Alligator mississippiensis: one gene and its partners. The protein of the gene in region 1 purifies or fractionates together with the protein of each later gene. This does not show direct contact. Links are inferred from orthologs where the notes say so. Each region holds a gene or a part of one and is shown in the gene's direction. Other genes may lie near its edges.

Region 1 (3,740 bases):
AGTCCAGACATGCAGGGGCATGCACTTGCAGTGGCATAAATTGCCATAATGTACACCCCTGCATGTGCGCTTTGTTGTGGGATAAGTTGTCCTGCAATGAGCAGACTACCCTTGCCCAGCTCCCCCTGGCTCTTCAGTACCAGTAGGGCCAGCACTAGTCTTACCTGGTGGCCTGGAGCAGCAGGGGTACAGGTTGGGCAGTACCGAGGCCTAGGCGGTAGTCAGAGTATTGCTCTAGGTGGCCTGGCCTCTGTGCGTGCTTGTCGTATGTGTGTTGCACTGCTTTTTGTTCCATTTGGGGTTTTTCTGCTACCGGGAAATCCCAGCAGTAAATGTTGACCCTGCACTGCAGCACAGGGCACTTTTTAACGTTTGCCTCATCCAGTTTGTGGCACCGCAGCCCGCATGTCCCTGCATGTCTGGACCCGGTCAGAGATTTCAAATAGGAATCTAGAGCGTTAAAACCGCGCTGACCTGCGGAGGCTTTTCCGAGGTCTTCGCAAGAGAAAAAATGCTCTGTTATTATTCCCGTAGTCATAAAATGAGCGCAAGGTCATTTTCCGAGTGGGGCCTTGAATCGAACAAAGGGCTGAGAACCACTGCTGATAACTTTACGGTGCAGCCCGGCGCGCTCAAGCCCCAGCCTGAGGGCCAAATCCACGGGTCCAAATATTGGGCAGTAGGGAAGCAGCGGCCGGTCATTGCTGCTCTCTTAATGACAAATTTCCAAACCAGTGGGGAGCCCCCGGGCTACTTGGACCGTGCAGGGCCGGCTGGGGTGGCGCAAGGCCGATGCGGCGCACGGAGGTGGCGTGGGCCCGACCTCGGCGTGTGTCCCACACCGCTCCTCGAGCCCCACGACCGGCGCCGACCTCACGGCCTGGTCTAGTCGCGCGCAAACACCTGCCCACGCGGCGGGGCTGGCTTCCTCGCGCCCCACCGAGCAGGGGGGCCACCGTGGTCAAACGAAAGCCGGACACACGCAATACATGTAAGGGGGCAGAGGCCTAGTGTGAAACCCTGGGGATGAAACACTGCTCCCCCCACCCCTCCAGGCTCCAGGAGCAGGCTTTGCAGCCTCCCTGCGGCAGGGCCCGGGGTGGCTCCGGGCTGCTTCGCCTCCTCCAGACCCGCAGGCTGCCCCCGCGCAGGGTGGGCGAGCGGGCGGGCGGACAGGCGGGCGGCGGTAGGACCCGGCGGCAGCGCTGGGAGCAGACGGGCTGCGCGAGGGGGCGCCGAGCCCGGCCCGGCCCGGGAGGGAAGGCGGGCGGGCGGGCGGGCGGGCGAAGGGAGGCGGGGAAGGAGCCGCCGGGCAGCGGCAGCAGCAGCAGCGCCCGCCCGGGCCCCATGGGCTGAGCCCCAGCGCCAGCCGCCGCCGCCGCCCGGGGATGGTTTGCGGCCGGAGCAGGAGGCTGCAGCCGCCCAGCTAGGCCCGCGCCGAGGAGCCGCTGCCCGGGTGAGTGCCGGGGCCTGTGCGGGGCCGCCCGCCCGCCTGGGCCCTGCCCTGCCCTGTCCTGCCCTCCCGCGGGAGCCCGGCTCGCCCTCCCCTGCGGCCCGGGCCGGGCTCTGAGGGGCGGGAGGCGCCTCCCGGCCTCCCCCAGCTCCCAGGGCAGGCGGCCTCGCCCCCTCCAGAGACCCCCTGCCTCGCCCCCACGTGGAGCCGGTGCCACTTGGTGGCCTGTTGCGGCTGCCCCCGGCCCCCCAGGGCGCCAGGCGTCCTTTCCGAATTTGCTCTGGTTTCCCCAGGGGCTCGGGGAGGGGGCGAGCTGTCGGCCCCCGCGGGCGGGCGGGCGGGCGGGGGGTTTCGAGATTTCTGTGCCACTAACTTGTGCTTTTCTTCGAGTAGGTTGGGCGCGCGGCTGTTGTGCCCAAATGCCCGCGCGCGTGTGGGCAGCAGCAGTCGCGACGCGCCAGGTTGGAGCGTGTTTGGGAAGCTCGCTGTCCCTCCCCCCCTCCCCCCCTCCCGGGCCTCTGGCTTTTACTGCGAATTTAAATAATTTAGGGCTTGCTTGAGCCTCACGAGAGACGGAGCAAAACTTTGGTAGGGGTATCACGGGGCAGCGCGCACCTGCCAGCTGGCGGGGTTCGAGTAACGGCGCCCTGTGGCCCCCCCATTTTTTCTCCCTTGAGTGTAAAGAGGCGTATTTCTTGTCAGAGAGGTATAAGCAAAGAGCGTCCTGTCTATCCTGATGAATTTCAGAGAGAATCGAGCAATTCTCTCCCTTTCCCGCAGTTTCCGAATGCTTCCTCCAGGGTTGGTCCCCGCTGTGTTGCAAGGTAGAGAGCTGAACTTGTAACCCTGGTCCCACACCTGAACACAATTAACATCCTATCTGTTTTTCACTATGCATTGGAGAGCACTAGGAGTTGCTAATTGCAATGTGGAAGCCTAGGTTAAGTTTGCAGTGTGGAAGAAAAAAAAAAAAAAGAGACAGTTTATATTGCTGTCAACTTCCCTTTGTAATATCAGGACAAGCTTCCCAAACCTTGTGATCAGCCACATGTATAGTAATGACAGTCTGGGTTTTATGTGGTGGTGTTCAAAGCGGAGCATCTTCTGCACTAGCAAGAAGCATCACTAACCACACAAAACTGGTGGGCCACTGTTACATTTTTAAAACCTGAAGTAAGATTTTGAAACAGACTGGTGGTCCATTTTAGGCTTTCTTGAAAGTGAGCTCCTGCAGCTTGAGGGCTTTGGGTCAAATCTGACCTGCCCCCCCCCCCCCAACCTGTTAAGAGAACAGGGGCTTTGAGTGCATTGGTATCACTGGTTCTGTACAGGAGTGGTGGCTGATTTTGTGTCAAGCATGTAGGAGATGTGTTTCATGTCATAGTTTCACAGATGCTCCAACACACAAAGCCGGGCAGGGGCAGAAGGGATAAAGCTCACGTTGTCTGCGTCTACCCTGCCACACACTGCCTCACATGAGGGTGGGGTGATACCCGTTAGATCTGCACCGTCCATTAGGCTATAGTTTCAACTCAAGAGTTGTGGAGAAATAATGGTGTTTCCCCTCCTGCTTTGCTTTTCTATGAGCACAACCTGGCTGTGCAGAATATGTATAGAGACTAAGAGAAAAGTAAGATCTCAGCCTAAGGAAGAAAGGAAGATCAGGTGCATCTTTTAGTTTTGTACCATCTTGGAAGGCAAAAGGGAGGGGTGCATTAGAAAGATACAAAGATGTTAAAAAAAGAGCACCCAGCCCTAAAAGGCTGTCCCAAATACAGCTTCACTCCGCCTTCTGTTGGCAGATTCATTTGCATGGCTTCTTTAAGACGGGTTTTATTGTGCTAGTACATAAGGAAGGGATGCATGTTTAAAATTAATAGTTTATTGAATTTTCACCATTTTTATGCATGTTCTTACTAGCTGTCCCCCATATTAATAGAATAACATATGCAGGGGTACAAGATTAATATGCCATCCATTATTTATTGTACTTACAGCGTTTCTGACTGGTGAGTGTAGGTGATGATATAGTATAGAATAAGGTGGTATAGAAACAAATTTATAAAATTAATAAAAAAGAAAGGGCTAATTGTTTATCTCCAGTTCTTGACAACACTGTCATATGCATTCTCTCACAGGTTAGATAAGTCAGACTGTAGTCATCTCAGATGCCCTGCGTCACTGGGAACCATTCCTAGATTTGCATAGATGAGGGTAACAGTCATCCATTTTTGTTCAGCTTGTGCAAAAGGGAACCTTCTCTCATTTTGGCCATAACTAATAATAA
Region 2 (3,740 bases), on another chromosome or scaffold:
GGACAGCCATGACACTGTTTTTGCAAGCTCGCAGCTCCTACACTCAACTCCAGTGCCAAATCCCAGCCTGAATTGGGCGCACCTGGTTGTAGTCATGAGGGAGAGGCTGGGAGCCGAGTTCTCTGCCCCAGCTGGGAAGGGGTGCAGCAAACACATTGCAGCAGGGATGCCCGGCTCCCCCTCCGGCTCTGGGAGAGGAGGAGGTCTGTCAGGGCGGTGGGGTAAAGGTGGCTGGGAGGGGGGGTCAGGGCAGTGGGGTAAGGGGGGGCTGGGAGGTGGCAGGGTAGTGGGGTAAAGGAGGCTGGGAGGCCGGACACCTGGGTCCTTTGCGGGTGGGGGATGCAGCCGGTGGCAGCCAGCACCCCTGGGTTCCTTGGTGAAAGGGCAGCGGGTGCCCGCCCATCCCTCTCTGCCTCCGACTCTAGCAGGGCTGCGGCCGGTCCCCAGGGGTGGGACTGCTTGGAACTCAGCTGGGGGAGACTCAGGGCTGTGTCCGACGAACCCAGGCGTCCGCCCCCCCCCCCAGCCCCCACTCCGTCCCGGAGACCCCAGGCGTCCGGGGCAAGCGGGACCTGCCTGGGGCTGGACCCTGGGGACAACATGTCGCCAACAGGGCGGTGATGAGCGATCTAGGAATGAGCCGGCCCCGCCCCCTCCCCGGGAGCCCAGGCCGGCCGCCAGCTCCTCCCCGCCCAGCCGCACCCTGCACCAGCTCTGCGACACTGCCAGCCCCAATCAGCGGGCAGTGGGGGCGGGGCCAATCCCGGGCGCCTGGGTTCCCTCTCCCTTCCCAGGCCCTGCCTCTGCTCCCTTCCCCAGGCGCTTCCTTCCTTCCCGCTGCTTCTGTCCCCGACGGGGGGCTGGGCTGGGAACCCGGGGTAGGGGCCCGGACCCCTGGTTCTCGGGGGCGGGGTCGGGGCCCAGACCCTTGGTTCTCTGTGGGGGCGGGGTAGGGACCCGGACTGCTGGTTCCCTCCCCAGCCTGGGAAAACCTCTGGGGTTCAGTATTGCCAGAAGCACCCCACCCACCCCTCCAGAACAAAAGGTGACTACAACTCCCAGCAGCCTTTGCACGGACCCCACCCTGCCCTGCTGGCTCCCCACTCCCGCCCGCTATCACGTGTGCGATCCCCTTCTGGCCAATCAGACCCCGCCCGGCTGATCCCAGCCGACCAATCAGGGGCCTGGCCGCCGGCCAGGCTATAAAAGCTTTGTCTATATCAGCCCCCGCCTTTTACCAGCCCTTTAGAACGTTGGACGCCGCCGCGTTCGGAAGGAGGAAACTTGGGCTCCGCAGCGTTCTACCCTTAAAGGGGCGCGTCGCACCGTCAAAAAGGGGGCAAAAAGGTCCTGCAAGATGAGGGAAATTGTGCACATCCAAGCCGGCCAATGCGGTAACCAGATCGGCGCCAAGGTGAGGCGGGGTCCGGTTTGCTCGGACCTGTGCAGATCCTCCGGGGATAGGGGATCGCGCCTCGTAGGGCCGGATGGTGCCTATAGGGGGGTGATTTGGCGCTTTTTAAATTGGACAAATTCCTTTAACTCGCCCGGGAGATCGGGGGTGGGAAACCCGTTTAAAACGAGAGAGGGGGCGGGGGGGTGTCTGGGGGTCCGGGTCCCCCTCTCCCCCCCAGCCTTAGAGACTCCCCTCTGATGGCGGCGCGGGGAGACCCGGCCCGCGGAGCAGCCGGCGGGAGCGCGTGGCGGGGTGGGGCGGTCCGGCCGCGGGGGGAGGGGAGGACTCTGCTGCGCGCCAAACCCGCGCGTGCGGGGGGAGGGAACGCGATTTGAACCAGGAGCCGCCCCCGGCGGGGCGGGGCGGGGGGGCTCGGAGCGGGACGAGGCTTCCTGCTGGGGACGCGCCGGCGGGAGAGAAGCGCCCTGATCTGGGGCGGGGCGGCGGCAGCCCGATCTGGGGAGGGGGCTTCTCTCCATCGGGAGGGGGCGTAGCTCGGCGGGGATCGGGCCCGCTCCTGGGTGGTACTAGAAACTTGGTCCATTTCAGCCCCACCCCCTTTTTTGCGGGGAGTGGGGGGGTCAATTTCAGTCTCCTTCCCCCACGTTCGTTTTGGACCCGATCAATTTCAGCCCCTCCCCCTTTGTGGGGGCGCGGGAGTGGTCCATTTCAGCCCCTCTTGCTTTCTGGGCTGTTCAGTTTCAGCCCCTCCTCGCCGGCTCCGGTCCGCCCCGTCTCGCTGGTGGATTCCCCCCCCCCCCGCGAACTTGGCCCCGGCCGTGAACTTGGCCCTGGCCTCAGCCCCGTGCCTCGGCTTTGCCTCCCTCCGGGGCCGGCTTAATCCGCATTAAAAGGGGCGGCGGGCTGCTCGCGGTACCTGCCTTCCCCTCCCCACCCGCCCCGCAGGGTCGTTCTGCTCGATCCGGGTTTGCTACATAGTGTCCGCGGTGCCGACCTGTCACACTGTAGCCGCGGGAGGAGGCGGCTTGGAAACCAAGTTGCCAAAAAAGGTGTGTGTGGGAGGGGTATCGCTCTGCTCCTGGTGGATCCGGGGTGGGGGCAGCCCCCAGCCTCTGGCACTCCCTGCTGCCAAGGATTTGCTGCTTCCCCCACCCTCTTTTGTCTGCACAAGCACATGGCTGCAAAGGCGGGTTCTCTCCCCCTCTACCTGCAGGGGTCTTCCAGCTGGATCCTTTCCCCTTTCAATGGGATCTGGCTGGTCCCCAAGCTTGGACTGACTATTTTCACCTGTCTCCCAGCACCCAGAGGGGAATCTGCTCCTCCACCTCCTAGTTATAAGGGGATCTAGCCCCCCCCTTCCCCTTGGGCCAGAGTCTGCAGGGATCTGTAAGCTGGAGTCTTTGCCCATTCAAGGGACTCAGGGTTGATACCACAGCTCTGCCCCAGTCTCCCAGTACCTGCATTTGGGATCCATTCTCCTTCTCCACCTCCTAGGTATAAGGGGGATCTGGTAAGTGGGTGGCTCCCCTCTCCCCTGGGCTGGGCTCTGCAGGGATCTCCTTGCTCAAGGCTGGATCCTTTCAATGGGATCTGTTTGGGGACCAGGTCTGAGATTTGGTTTGCTTCCTTCCCCCAGCTTGCAGTGCCCAGATCAGGAACCATTCCACCCTCTAGTTATAAGGGGATGTAGTGGGTGCAGCTCCCCTGGTGCCAGGATCTCCCCAGCTAGATCAGATCCCCTCCTTTCCCTTTCCAGTGACTAGGGGATCTCAAGGGCTGAGACTACTTTCTTTGTGCCTCTCTGTAATGGCTGCTGTTGGGGGAAGGAGGCGGAGGTGGTGAGCCAGCCAGACATCTTGGTGAATGCGGTCATCCCCAGCCGGAGGCCTCTGGGATTATTTCCCCTCCCCCTTCCTTTCTGGCTCTGGCTTTTAAAATGCAATTGCAGATGTCCTGGGCGGGTCCAGATCATCTTTGTGGCCGGAAACTGCTGGGAGCTGCCTCATTCTTGCCTGAATCAGGGCTTTTCTCTCCCACTTCTTACTTGCCTTCCAAATAGGAGTTTGACTTTTTTTTTGGTTTTTTTTTCTTTTCTTTTTTTTGTTTTTTTTTTTGGAGCTGGATTCCCTTATAAAGACCTCAAGAGCCAGGCTGGGGGGTGGTGGGGGGTTATTTTGAGCTGGAGATGGCTACAGACAAGGCTGCTTCCTTCCCTCTCCTCCCAAAATGAGCTGATTCTCTGTTTTTATTTTCTAACTCCCCAACCCTATTCCAGGTGCCCACTCTCAAGAGATTGAAGCCTGCCTCTTTTTTTTTACTGCCA
Region 3 (3,740 bases), on another chromosome or scaffold:
GGCGCCGTGCTCACCGGCGGCGCAGGTAGCGCACGACGCGCTGCGCGGGCTGCTCGGGCCAGCGCGCCGCCTGCCGCGCGAAGCCGCGGTGGTAGAGGGCGAAGGCCTCGGGGTCGCGCTGCAGCAGGCGGGCGGCCTGGCGGCTGCTGCCCGCCTGCAACTGCTGGTTCAGGTAGCGGAACCGGGCGGCCTCCAGCCGCGCCTCCATGCGGGCCCGCAGCGCCGCCGCGCGCCCCGAGACCCGCTCCTGCTCCTGCTCCGGGTGTGACTCCGGATCAGGGTCTGGCTGTGCTTCCCCCGGGGCCTTGAACTTGTTCTTCTGCCGCCGCTTGTTCTTCTGCCGGTTCCTCCACTGCTGCCGGCTCAGCCGCGGCTCCGGCTCCGGCTCCTGTTCCTGCTCCTGCTCGGGCTTCGGCTCCGGCTGCTGCTCCCGGCAGCTTGGAGCACGAGCGCGGGGCCGGGGCCGGGGGCGCGTGGCGGCCTCGTGCTCGGAGCCGGAGCTGCTGCCCCCGTCCCGGTCCCCGTCCCCGTCCCCGTCCCGGTCGCAGCGGCCCGAGGCCTCCAGGCGCCGCAGCAGCGCGCGGAGGCGGCGGGGCCCGGGCGCGGGCGCGGGCGCGGGCGCGGGGCGGGGACGGGGAGCGGGACGGGGAGCGGGGTCGGGGGCGCCCCCCGCATCGCGGTCCCAGGCGGGCTCGGCGAACATGGCCCCGGGCGGGCGGGCGGGGCGGGCGCGACGCGGGTCCCGGGGCCGCCGCCAGGGGCCGCTGCGGGGGCGGAGCCGGAGCGGAGCAGGAGCCGGAGCCGGAGCCGCCGCCCGAGCCCGAGCCCGACGCGACGGAGCCGCCGCGGGACCCGTGCGGGGTACGGGGTGGGGTGGGGTGGGGTGCGCGGGGCGGGTGCGGGACCGGTGCGCGGCGCGGGGGCCGGAGCGGGATCACCCGGGGCGGGGGCGGCTGAGACCGACACCGACACCGAGACCGGACACTCGTGACCCCCCCGCGCTGCCCAGCAAGGGGTGCGGGGAGAGGCCGGGGCCGGGGTCATATGGGAGCAGGGGCAGCGGGGTCAGAGGTCGCGGGGATGCCCGCCCTAAAACACCCCCCCCCCCCCCGCAGGAGCCGCGATGGACGACATCTTCACGCAGTGCCGCGAGGGCAACGCCGTGGCCGTGCGCCTGTGGCTGGACAACACGGAGAACGACCTCAACCAGGGGTGGGTGAGCGCGGGGCCGCCCGCAGCCCGGGGCCGGGGCCGCTCCGGCCGCAGCAGGAAGTGACCGCATCGCCGAGGCGCGAGGCTCCTGCGAGCGGGGAGGGGACGCGAGCCCCCCGCTCTGCCCTGCGCCCCCCGGGCCGGGGGCTGCGGCCGGCACCCCGTGTCCGGTCGGTGCGCCGGAGCCGGAGCCGGGCCGAGCCGTGCGCGGGACCGGGCACAGGGTGCGGTGGGCTGGGGCTGGGCGGAAGGAGGGGAGGGGCAGCCCCTCGCCGCGGCCACAGTCTCCTTTTAAGGCCCGGCGTCGCCTCCTCCCGCACGGGCGGCACAGGGAGCGTGGAGGGGGGGTCCTGTCCGCGCCCTCCGGAGCAGCCCCAGCGCCTGCGACGGGGCCGGGGGCTGCAGGCGCACACCTCTGCCCCAGTCCCCCCTGCCCCGTGTGCCCCAGGCTGAGGCCGCGGTGCCCCTGGCGCTGTCCCGTCGGCCTGCCCCTGCCCGGGATGCCCCCGTTGTGCCTGGGGTCCGGCTCCAGCCGCCACCAGCCTCCGCGCAGGGTGCAGGACTCACCCCCCTGCGCGCTCCCCCAGGGATGACCACGGCTTCAGCCCGCTGCACTGGGCCTGCCGCGAGGGCCGCTCCAACGTGGTCGACATGCTGATCATGCGGGGGGCGCGCATCAACGTCATGAACCGGGGCGACGACACCCCCCTGCACCTGGCGGCCAGCCACGGCCACCGCGACATCGTGCAGAAGGTACCGACCGGCACCCCCGCAGCACCCCTCGCCCCACAGAGCACTCCTCAGCACCCCACAATCCCCCCAGTGCCCACGCTGGGGCCCCCACAATGCCCCAGGACCTGTCAGCGCCCTGCCCCTCCCCCTTTGCTCCCAGGACCCCATGTGCCCCGTCACTGGGAGCAGGGAACTGGGACCCAGCGCCCCCCACACTGAGGTCCCCGGCTTCTCCCGCAGCTGATCCAGTTCAAGGCCGACATCAACGCGGTGAACGAGCACGGGAACACGCCGCTGCACTACGCCTGCTTCTGGGGCCACGAGCAGGTGGCCGAGGTGAGCCCTGCCGGCCCGGCGGGGGGGCTGGGGGCACTAAGCTGCAGGGCCGGGGTCTCACCCTCCCCCTACCCACAGGACCTGGTGAGCAGCGGGGCCCTGGTCAGCATCTCCAACAAGTACGGCGAGATGCCCCTGGACAAGGCCAAGGTCCCGCTCCGAGAGGCTCTCAAAGGTAAATGTTGCCCCCGCCCTGTCCTGGGCCGCAGCCCGCCACCCCCTCGTGTCCTGCCCCAGGCACACACCCTCTGCCCTGGCCGTGCCCGGTCTCTCCCGCAGACCCCGGCACCCAGCGCACATCTCTCCGCAGAGCGGGCTGAGAAGCTGGGCCAGAGCCTGACCAAGATCCCCTACAAGGACACCTTCTGGAAGGGCACAACCCGCACCCGGCCACGTAAGCTTGCTGCCACCACAGGGGTGGGTTGGGGGCACTTCTCTGTTTGCAGGGGGCTTCTTGGGGTCGCCCACTGGCAGCCCCCCACAGCTGCAGAGGTGGGGAAGTTTGGGGGGGGAGTTGGGCAGCTCTTCCCAGACTCCCCCTCTGTGCTTGCAGGAAATGGGACCCTGAACAAACTGGCCGGCATCGACTTCAAGCAGCTGAACCTGGGCCACAAACTCAACGAGAACCACTCTGGAGAGGTGTGCATGGCAGGGGCCAGGGCATCAAGCCCTGGGGGCTGCCCAGCCCCTGGCTGGGGCACAGGCCTCAACTCTGCTACCATCACTCCTGCAGTCTGGGGCTCATCCCCTAGTCCGTGCGTGCCCTCCTCCCGCCTGCACAGGGGGTCACAGCCCTGGGGGCAGGGTGGGGAGAGCAGAGGGTCCCCGGACCCCGTGATCCGCCCCCGCTGACCCTGTCTGTGTCTCAGCAGCTGTGGAGGGGGCGCTGGCAGGGCAATGACATCGTCATCAAGGTGCTGAAGATTCGGGACTGGACGACTCGGAAGAGCCGCGACTTCAACGAGGAGTACCCCAAGCTCCGGTGGGGCCGAGGGCCTGGCCGCGGGATGGAGGGGTGGGGGGACATCTCTGGGCAGGGGTGCAGGCGGCGGTGCTGGGCCAAGGCTGGAGTGTGAGGGGCGGGGTGGTGGGGATGGACCGGGGGGAGTCTGTGGTGCTCAGGCCCAGCCTCTTGCAGGATCTTCTCACACCCCAACGTGCTGCCCGTGCTGGGTGCCTGCCAGGCGCCACCCGCGCCCCACCCCATCATCATCACACACTGGATGCCCTACGGATCCCTCTACAACGTGCTGCACGAGGGCACGAGTGAGTGTGGGCATGGGGAGGGGCTCGCAGCGGTGGGTGGGAGGCGGTCCCATCCCCGGTCCTCCCCCCAGCACCGACACCGCCCGTCTCCCCCCGCAGACTTCGTGGTGGACCAGATGCAGGCTGTGAAGTTTGCGCTGGACATTGCGCGGGGCATGGCCTTCCTGCACACGCTGGAGCCCCTCATCCCCCGG

The links.
Region 2: the proteins of AKT1 (region 1) and TUBB purify together in Homo sapiens (affinity purification with mass spectrometry, with the first as the bait; 3 studies listed by BioGRID). This does not show direct contact. The link is inferred for Alligator mississippiensis from reciprocal best matches to the Homo sapiens genes AKT1 and TUBB.
Region 3: the proteins of AKT1 (region 1) and ILK purify together in Homo sapiens (affinity purification with western blotting; 3 studies listed by BioGRID). This does not show direct contact. The link is inferred for Alligator mississippiensis from reciprocal best matches to the Homo sapiens genes AKT1 and ILK.

Annotation. Positions count from the first base shown.
Region 1 is NC_081825.1:289,116,863-289,120,602, reverse strand, and holds the start of AKT1 (RAC-alpha serine/threonine-protein kinase), read left to right. Parts: upstream 1-1,285; 5' UTR 1,286-1,456; intron 1,457-3,740. UniProt on the Homo sapiens protein: AKT1 is one of 3 closely related serine/threonine-protein kinases (AKT1, AKT2 and AKT3) called the AKT kinase, and which regulate many processes including metabolism, proliferation, cell survival, growth and angiogenesis.
Region 2 is NC_081834.1:57,380,112-57,383,851, reverse strand, and holds the start of TUBB (tubulin beta chain), read left to right. Parts: upstream 1-1,230; 5' UTR 1,231-1,357; coding exon 1,358-1,414; intron 1,415-3,740. UniProt on the Homo sapiens protein: Tubulin is the major constituent of microtubules, a cylinder consisting of laterally associated linear protofilaments composed of alpha- and beta-tubulin heterodimers.
Region 3 is NC_081824.1:483,477,981-483,481,720, forward strand, and holds the start of ILK (integrin-linked protein kinase), read left to right. Parts: upstream 1-1,123; coding exon 1,124-1,212; intron 1,213-1,799; coding exon 1,800-1,965; intron 1,966-2,184; coding exon 2,185-2,280; intron 2,281-2,358; coding exon 2,359-2,455; intron 2,456-2,590; coding exon 2,591-2,674; intron 2,675-2,833; coding exon 2,834-2,919; intron 2,920-3,152; coding exon 3,153-3,262; intron 3,263-3,418; coding exon 3,419-3,546; intron 3,547-3,645; coding exon 3,646-3,740. Other genes in the region: RRP8 (ribosomal RNA-processing protein 8), read right to left, coding at 15-703. UniProt on the Homo sapiens protein: Scaffold protein which mediates protein-protein interactions during a range of cellular events including focal adhesion assembly, cell adhesion and cell migration.